Ovis aries: one gene and its partners. The main gene of each other region encodes a partner of the protein of the gene in region 2 in a complex. Links are inferred from orthologs where the notes say so. Each region holds a gene or a part of one and is shown on either strand. Other genes may lie near its edges.

Evidence for each region. Proteins that work in one complex are often made in the same cells at the same time.
Region 1: RRS1 (region 2) and RPF2 share a complex: the UniProt entries of both Homo sapiens proteins name them as parts of the hexameric 5S RNP precursor complex. The link is inferred for Ovis aries from reciprocal best matches to the Homo sapiens genes RRS1 and RPF2.
Region 3: RRS1 (region 2) and HEATR3 share a complex: the UniProt entries of both Homo sapiens proteins name them as parts of the hexameric 5S RNP precursor complex. The link is inferred for Ovis aries from reciprocal best matches to the Homo sapiens genes RRS1 and HEATR3.

What each region holds. Positions count from the first base shown.
Region 1 is NC_056061.1:26,646,697-26,649,328, reverse strand, and holds part of RPF2 (ribosome production factor 2 homolog), read left to right. Parts: intron 1-1,327; coding exon 1,328-1,472; intron 1,473-2,031; coding exon 2,032-2,211; 3' UTR 2,212-2,632. UniProt on the Homo sapiens protein: Involved in ribosomal large subunit assembly. May regulate the localization of the 5S RNP/5S ribonucleoprotein particle to the nucleolus.
Region 2 is NC_056062.1:43,655,164-43,658,487, reverse strand, and holds RRS1 (ribosome biogenesis regulatory protein homolog), read right to left. Parts: upstream 2,146-3,324; 5' UTR 2,029-2,145; coding exon 931-2,028; 3' UTR 501-930; downstream 1-500. UniProt on the Homo sapiens protein: Involved in ribosomal large subunit assembly. May regulate the localization of the 5S RNP/5S ribonucleoprotein particle to the nucleolus.
Region 3 is NC_056067.1:18,022,502-18,026,001, reverse strand, and holds part of HEATR3 (HEAT repeat-containing protein 3), read right to left. Parts: intron 3,433-3,500; coding exon 3,323-3,432; intron 1,178-3,322; coding exon 1,037-1,177; intron 1-1,036. UniProt on the Homo sapiens protein: Plays a role in ribosome biogenesis and in nuclear import of the 60S ribosomal protein L5/large ribosomal subunit protein uL18 (RPL5). Required for proper erythrocyte maturation.

The DNA of each region.
Region 1 (2,632 bases), on a different chromosome or scaffold from region 2:
CTCATGCTCCCTGCAGTGGAAGTGTGGAGTGCTAGCCACTGGCCCACCAGGGAATTCCCAAGATTTAGTCTTGATACGAGTTCAGCATGATAAATACAGTTTATTTGAGATATGAAAGATGTAGAGGCGATTGCAGAATAAAAAATAAAAACCTGTGATATAAGAGTTACATGGTCACTGCCCCTGTATGCTTTGAGTGAAATATTAAGGACAATGGCATGATGTCAGCCATCTTCAGCTCCTAAAAATGTTTTCCCCTCAGTAGGCCAGAGACAAGCCTTCCCTCAGGTCTCTTCTCCCAGAATCCCCATGAGGAGAGTGGCTTAAGAGCCGTTATTTAAGCTCCTTTTTTCCCTGTGCTTGCTCCCTTAAAGCCCCATACTAACATTTATTTTATCTTTTAATGTTTGTATGTTTTTGTTTGTTTAACATTTCTGCTCTTTACATATCCTAGGCTGTGGGGTTTTTTGTTTCGTTTTTCCTTTTTGCCTTGTTTAGTTGAGTGTGAACTACTGTGTCTGATACAGCATACCTATCTCTGTGACTCTTGCAGAAGCCAGTAAAAGCACTTCCTGTAAGTGGACTGTATTGGTTGGTTGTCTTCATGTGACGCAGGGCTTTTAATAAGGTTTTACACACTTCACTCCTGCTTCCTGGTATTTTCTTATTCCTGGGTATTACTTACTCTGCTTTCCTCTTCTTTCTCTTCTCTGTGTCACTTGTTACTTCTTTCTCATCCTGACTTTTATGTGAAAAGGCTCATCTTTTCTGAACATTATTATTTAGTCCTTTTCTGTGTGGAGATCTGATCACTGTAACAAATTTGAGTCTTTCAGCACAAATAACCTTCAAGTCTTTGAGCAGTTCTTACAATGTCACTCCCCCAAAAAAGAATTAAATGAATCTCCCTTCTTCCCCGCGCTGTATTCTTCATATGCTTTCGGATCCAAGGTTATTTATACATATGGTATCCAGAAAGTCATGGTTTTGTTACGTTCATTCCGATCTATAGAGATCAGTGTCTGTGCTTTGGAGAAAAGTTTATTCTGAATGGATCTTAGAGAAATAAGAATTTGTTAATTATGTAAATATAATGTCTTAAAGATCCACTTAAAATTGTTAATATAATTATGTAAACCTTAAATAAAGACATCAAATAAAAGATTCCACTTCTTAGGAGACTATCTGTATATAAAGTATTAAAATTAGGCTTTCCAAACATTTTGTTATTTTATGGAACTGTAATTCTCTAGAACAAAAGTATTTGGAGGAATGGGATTTTGATTATCAAAGTCAAAGCAACATTTCTTTTTGCTATTTCATAAAGGTTGCTGTTGAAGAAATCTGGCTGTAGAACACCACGGATTGAATTGGAAGAGATGGGACCCTCGTTGGATTTGGTTCTGAGGCGGACACACCTAGCATCAGATGACCTTTATAAATTATCTATGAAAATGCCCAAAGCCCTGAAGGTACATGACTTGCAGATTGGTGCCATGTTTATTTGTATATTCCTCTCTTCTTTCCAAAAAGGATTTGTAGCATATTACATTAAAGGACATATATAAACAGATCAATATAATAGATAAAATTAGACTTTCAGAGCCAAAGAAAGAAGGAAGAAGCAAATAAGCCAATCATAAAGGATAATAAAATTGTAGAAACCAAGCATCAAGTGTTGCTGAGTGCTTCCTGGTAGCCAAGACTGCCAGTTTTCAGCAAAAATAGGTCTCATTTTGGGCATTGTGAAAATGTAATTTCAAGCCTAGGATGTATAACCCATACTTCCATAAAATGTATTTTGACTTTTGAATGGTTTTAAAAAGCAAGTAGAAATGGCATCTCTGGAATGCCAGTAAATATTTGAAATGATAGTCATAATCCTTAAGCTAAACATAAGAACTTCTCTCAGTGCATGACAATGATTAGTTTCTTCGGTTGAAGTTGTTAAACAATAGTTGTTGTACACTAGATTTTTATCAGTTCATAATAGTAGACTCAACTGTTTTTTCATATATTACTATTTCATAGCCAAAGAAGAAGAAAAATATCTCTCATGATACTTTTGGTACAACTTATGGAAGAATTCATATGCAAAAGCAAGACCTAAGCAAACTACAAACCAGGAAAATGAAGGGGCTGAAGAAGCGACCTGCAGAAAGGAAAGCAGAAGAGGAGGAGAACAAATCAAAGAGAATTAAAAAGAATTGATGGAATTTAGCCAATAGCTGCATTTTTATTGTAGTTATGAAGCATCCATTGTTTCAGAGTTTCTTATAAGGTGTTATTATATATTTTTATAACGATAATTTACCTAAACTATATATATTATATACATTATGAACAGTAACATAGTAGTATTAGGTTGAAAGTTATACTCTTACTGGAGATATTATACCCAGGTATGCCATTTTCTTTCTGTGATGTGACATTACCCTCTGCCCACGCCCTACAATGTCCCCTGTCTCATTGGGTGGATAAGTGAGGAAGGATCCCCAGAACAACCAGTGGTATTTTAGAGAATTTTGAGTTAAGCCTTAAATAAAGGGAAGAAGTCATGGAAAGTGTAAATGTTCCAAAGTAACTGTATACATGCTCAGTGTGAGCTGCCTGGAAACGTGACCCCATCTCC
Region 2 (3,324 bases):
AGTAAGGATTTTGTAGGTTTCTTTCTCTCTTCCCCAAACAGATCCCACTTGAAGCTTAAAAAAAAAACACCTGGGATATAAATACTGATAAAGATTTAAGTATAAAATTAGGATTAGGACTTCCCTAGTGGTCCAGTGGCCAGGATTCCACACTCCCGATACAGGGGACCTGGGTTCAATCCCTAGTCTGGGAACTAGATCCCACATACTGCAACTAAGACCCAGCACAGCCAAATAAATAAACATTAAAAAAAAAAAAAAAAAAACTGAGATTGAGGATTATTACCATTATTTAGTGAAGTCCAAATTTATCATTTACAGCAAATTAATGTTTTCAGTGTTGAAAAGCATCAAATTTTGTTTTTGAAAGAGACACACTTTCAGTATTATATCTGACACCGAAAGCAGGATGAGTTTTTCTAATAAAAGTGGTCTTGCTGAAATCATAATGTAACTGCTATGTTTTCTAGAAAGTAAATGAAAATAATCTGTACCAGGTATCCAGGTCATTGGTTTTACTTAAAATGTAACCTTTCTGTTCCCACATGCTTTGATAAATACACAAACTTGTCATCAAAATAATGCAGAAACCAGCTGTTAAGTCTCTCCCTTAAACCCCATCCAAAGTTTAAAGAGAGGGAAAAAAAAGGCTGTTTAAAAGTAAAACTCATTCCTAGTTTTCACAGATTCTTTCCCTAATTCAGATGTTCTTAAATACAACCTTTAATCTCCAGCCAGAGTTTTGGTTGTGGGAAATACATTAATTTGTCCAGTCCAACATTTACATATCATCTTCAGAGGAGGGTAAACCTGGCCCTTTAACCTCAAGCTCAGTGAAGGCAGTGGCCAAATCTTGTGCATCTGGGTACTGTATCTAGAACTTAGCATTAAGTACAGTTCTTGGTTTAGGAGAAGGTCCAAGGATGAAATTTACTTCCTCCTCTTTCCTCCTTGGTGTTGCCCCCCTTTTCTCTTGCCACTCAGGCCGGGAGGTCCGGAATTCATCTTGCCTCCCAAACCCCCTTTCCTCTTCCCTCCTTGGCTGGGCGGGCCCCCCTTCCTCTTACCCCCGGGACCCTGTCGGGCCCCCTTTCTCTTGCCCTTCTGACTCATTTTCCTCCGCTTGGCCGCCTCCTCCTGGTCCTCCTCTCTCATCTGCTTATTGGTGGCCCTCGTAATGTCCAACTGAGGCTTTTTGCTGTTCATCACTCGCAGCATCTCCAACTGGCTCTTTCTCTCGGCCGCAAAGTCCCCGAAAAGAGGCTGAAACTTCCTCTTCTTGCCAGAGCCCCTGGGCGCCTTCTCCTTGGGCAGGCGCTCCTGGAAGCGCCCCACAGAGGCAGTGGAGACCTTGGCCACCTGCATGGCGCGGCCCAGCTCCTCCTTACTCTGGTGTCCAGTAGGGTGCATGCCGGCCGCGCTGGGCAGCTGCATCTTGTGCGCGCGGGCCAGGTTACGCAGCCGGTTCAGTTCGTTCTTGGCCACCCGTTCCTTCTTAGCCTGAATCCGCTTGGCGAACTGGTCCTCCATGGGGTCGGCATTGCCCGGCACCTCGATCAGCCACTCCTTGGTGTCGTCGCGGGCTCGCTGGTAGCCCCAGCGGCGGCGCCACTGGCCGCTCACCTCGTCCCACACCAGATTGGTTTTCTTCTTGGGACGGATGCCCTTGAGGCGCGCAAACTGCTGCCAGCGAGTAAGAGGCCGCGGCCTGGGCACCGGCTTCTCGCGCGGCAGACGAGTGCTGGGTTCCGGCAGCCGTGCCACCAGCGCCTCCTCCACGCGCTCGGTAGGCAGCTGCCACAGCTGGTTGATGAGCAGCTGCGTGTTGTCCCGCGCCAGGGCCCTCAGCTCGGCCTCCTGTGTGGGTCCCGCGTGCCGCAGCCCGGTCGGGGGGTTCCGGTCAGAGGCCAGCAAATTACCCAGGTCGAACTCCAGCTCCAATTCCTTCTGCACCGTGATGCGCTGTAGCTTCTCTGCCTCGTCCCGCTCCGCCTTTGCCAGCAGCTCCTCCACGCTCTGGCCCTCCATGGCTCCGGTTCGGCTCGCTACCTCTGGGAGACAGTTCTAGTCACGACTCCTCCTACAAGGGTTAAAGCCGCGGCACCCCAGACACGTGCGACTTCCCGGACGCTCGACCCGGAAGAGAAAGTTCCGCTTCCGGGGCACCCGGAAGGGGCTCAAGGAGCGGGCTACCCGAGGAACGGCCGGCAGAGGGCGGTGTTAGAGAGCAGATGAGATTAGAGGCAGCCTTTGGGGTGGAGCCCGGAGGTAGGCGGAGCCGAATCTACGAATTCCGAGGCCTGATTGGGACCTTGGCTCCCAGGATGCCCCTGCGGGAGGGGGTGGTCCTGTGCGAGCTGGGCAAGTTAGGGGGCCGCGGACTAAGCGGGCCCGGGAGCGACTGTTAGTTTTAGTGTGTGTAAAAGTCAGTTCTCAAGTTGTTTAGCCAGTCATTTTCACCAGAGCCTTGACACCTGTTCATGGTGTGCCCCCGGGTGTGGGCACTTCACCTGGGGATGTACAGAAAGCTAAGTGGAGACGGAGACTTTGTTTTCTTTGGGAGCGAGCGGGTCTGGCGGTTAGACCGCCCTGAAGGGGCGCGGCTGTGCCCCCATCCTGGCGACTTCAAGTCTGGTCTCCGGAGCCCAGGGCCACCTTCTCTCCTGGCTGATGGCAGAAGAGCGCGGGGCTCAGCTGTTAGACCGCCGGGGTTCCGACCTTGACCGCTCTGGTGTTTGACCTTCGGCTGTGTAACTTGTTTGTGCCTATTCTTAAACCTGTAAGATGGGGTTGCAAATATTACCTCCCAGGTCTGCCGTGAAGATAAATGAGTTAATATGCTCCCAAGGGAGCTTACACTGGAGTCTTGGGCATATGAGTGCTCAATAAATGTGAGCTAAATACCAGTAATTGTTTAATTCTCATCATGGCTCTGGGAACTCTGCTGAAAAGGCAGTCTTATACAGTGATTAAACACCAGGTTCTTGAATCAAGCTACCTAGAATAAGATCTGGGTTTCTTGTACCCACATTGGTCAGGTTGTTTAACTTAAGTCCTATTCATAAGTTGATGAATATGAATCATTAGTTCCTGGTACATTGTAAGCATTCAGTAAGTGTTGGCTACTGTTATTCACTATATTCCGCTGGTGACAGAAGCAGGCTCAGAGAAGTAAAATGACTTGTCTAAGGTTATACAGCCAGGAAGTATGGGAGCAGGAGAAGTCTAAACTCTGGCTCTAAAACTACATACATATTCTCTGCAATGTCTTCCAGACTCTTGATACTCAAAAAAGTGTGGTCTGTTGACCAGCAGTACAGCAGC
Region 3 (3,500 bases), on a different chromosome or scaffold from region 2:
TATACTTAACTGTACACTTAAAGATGCTTGCTGCTGCTGCTGCTGCTGCTGCGTCGCTTCAGTCATGTCCGACTCTGTGCGACCCCAGAGACAGCAGCCCACCAGGCTCCCCCGTCCCTGGGATTCTCCAGGCAAGAACACTGGAGTGGGTTGCCATTTCCTTCTCCAATGCATGAAAGTGAAAAGTGAAAGTGAAGTCGCTCAGTCGTGTCTGACTCTTAGCGAACCCATGGACTGCAGCCCACCAGGCTCCTCCATCCATGGGATTTTCCAGGCAAGAGTACTGGAGTGGGGTGCCGTTGCCTTCTCCGTAAAGATGTTTAAGAAATATCATAGAGCAATTATCCTCCAATTAAAAAAAAAAATGGTTAAGAAGCCAGGGAGCTCTCTGCTGGTCTAGCGGCTAGGATTTGGTGCTTTCACTGTGGAGGCCAGGTTCAATCCCTGGTTGGGAAACTAAAGATCCCGCAAGCAGAGCAGCGTAGCCAAAAAAAGAAAAACTTCAACAATGGTTAAGATGGTAAATTTTATTTTGTGCGTATTTTATCAATTTAGGGAAAATACAAAACATCTCTCAAGATAACTACCCTTGAAGCCCAAACAAAGGGCAAAAGGAAAATACACAGTAAGTTACCTACTACTTACACGCCATCAGATTATTTCTGTATTTAGAAATTCTGGGGAGAGGCACTGGGGGTGAAGATCTTATAGGAAAGTGAGTGGTCATGTCTTAGATGCCTGCAGTCAACTTCTGAACTCACTGCTTCAAAAATAAGAGGGGGTCCTGACAGCACAATTTCTCTATCAGACAACAGGAGCTATTAAATTGAAAACACGTCTAATCTTCTAAGGCTCTGAAATTATGCAGAATCGCTTGAATTAAAGGTTTCCATTTAAATATTAAAAATTTGAGAACAGACATAAGCACAGAAAGTCCTGATGTGGTGAAATGGGGGATTGATTGAATTTTGGCCTCTCCATTTCTGCCTGCTACAAGTTACTAAAATGCACACTATCGCAAGTGGTTAACTTTTACCTGCCACCAATGTCTTCAATAGAAGATACTCCATGGAATTGACAGGAGAAAGCATTGCTGATTCCAGCACATGCAATGCTGGGGTACTGAAAGATTTCAGTAGCTCTGGGTTATCTTCGGTCACCGTCTGCAAACAATATGCTATAGAGACAAAAATCAAATATTCAGAAACAAGTGAATTCCGCTAGGATAATTTAAACCAAAATGACTCATCAAAAAAACTTGCATCTTTACAACTTCTCTGGACACATTTTGTAGGAGACTCACCCTTTTCCTCAAACATAGTTTGTGCAAATGAGGCTTCCCAAATTATCAAAGTTATAAAAGACTTTTCTTTTTTCTTAACTTATAATCCTTTACAGAACTATACTTTTATAAATGAAAAGGCTCTCAATTGCCGTGACAACGTGGAATTACTATAAACATTTACAAAGATTTAGCTTCAATTTCTGTACTCGTCACAGACCAGTAGCAAACAGCCTGTAGGCTGAACACCAGTGCATGGAAAACTGTTGTCTATGACAAGTCCCAGGTTTGGAGACATTTAAAAAATTCTGCATGATCTTAAAAGTTAATTTATGATATAGCACATTAAATAAAAATGGTATTTTATATAAAAATGAGTAAATTAAGAGATAGGTAAAGTGTTAATAGACATAGGGTTCATTTAGCACTTAACTCTTCTCTCGCAATTAAAACAAGATCATGGATTATAACTTGTAAATTAGAAATAATTAACTGCAAGTATAAAACAACTGGGACTGCATGAAAAGCTTGACAGAAGAGACCTCTGACGCACAAATGAGGAAGCCCAAATTTATTTTCTTTGAGATACTGCATTCTATAAAATCCATTTCTATCCAGGTCTAAAAATTTCAAAGCAGATCATTTCCATCCAAATTAGTAGTCAAAATACATGTTATTATTGTGCTCTAGTCTGCATTCCAAAATACATTTATATATAAATCCATATGTATGCATATATGTATATATACATATATTCAAGTGTAATTTTTTTTCATTAAGAGACTAATTAAATTCACTTTAACAAAAAGCTAAGGTAAGTTGTGATTGCTAAGACAGCACGAGTCCAAAGAAAGCTATATTAATACATAGTATGGAATTTCAGTATTTCACTTTACTATATATAAGCTTTGCTTGATTTTCAAAACAGAAGCAATCTGACATTTGCCTTAAAAGAGTTATGAACCTAGCTAAGTGCCAAAGAAAATACTGCTATACACTGTAAAGTTACTTTATTCTGATCCCCTTTTTTAAAAGTTCTTTAGGAAAAAAAAGAAATAACCAAATCCACAAAACTTAAGGCCCAAAAAACAGAAGTGAAGTTTTTCTTTTCAAAGCTATGAACTTTCCTGAAACTCTTATTGTAATAAAGACTGTCCTCTGAGACTGAAAGTCACCTGCCAATTTTCTAGTTCAAGTGTTTTTAAAATCCACATTTACTCACAAGTCTCCCCTCTGCCAAATATCCCATTCTGAGAAACTGATTAAAAAATTTTTCCCAATAGTATTTATTCCACTATTATTTTTTCCTTCTCTGTTCTATTTCCACTAGAGCCAAGAGAAACATTGGTAAGGGGAATACACTTCAGTAAGGGGAATAAACTTGTCCTTGCCAGGAGAAATGTGTAGTTAAATAAAAGGACAGATGCCTATCGTTATGAAGGGTTGAATAAAAAACACTTCTTATCCATTATTTCTCCACTCACCCCCCGCGTTCTGTTGAAACAGAACCCACCCCCTGGTTTGTCTCCTCCCTCTGCTGAGTGAGGGCCCCCAGTGGCTTGTAACCCCACGCATAGAAAGCGAGGGAGCCAAGGCTGCTAACGCTGCCAGACTCTTGCCTTCCCTGTCTGGAAGGGAAGCAGGCCTATATGAAATTGCAATCACTTATCTTCCTCTCTCAAAAAGAGCAGAGGTTATCGTCTACATTCCAATTAACTTTGGCTCAAGGCCTGGCAGTTGTGGGTTACTGCTTCTCTGTAAATGGGAGATGAAAACTTTCAAGAGTTAATAAAAACTTCCAAGAATGTTCAGGCATTAGAAACCACATATGCTCACATAATCCTTTTCCTCCCTCTTAGAGACAAGAGCAGGAAAACTGCATGAGTAAGTAAAGAATTAATCACACATTTTAAAAGATTCAGAATAGAACTCAGTGATGCATTTATATACAATGAGAAAAAAAATCACTGCCATAGAATAAATAAGTTATGTCTGAATAAAAAATTTTGAATAAGGGCACACAAACTTTTCTTTACTTACCTACTGAAATAGCCAGGTCAACATTGGTGGAAAACCTACTTAAATACTTTAATACAATCTCCAAACACCCTTCTTTGTTGAATATAGATACTGCTCTACTACTGCATTCACTAAATCGAAGGGGGAAAAAAAAGTTTTACTATTCACATTTTAACATTAAAAAATCAACCACAGAAAT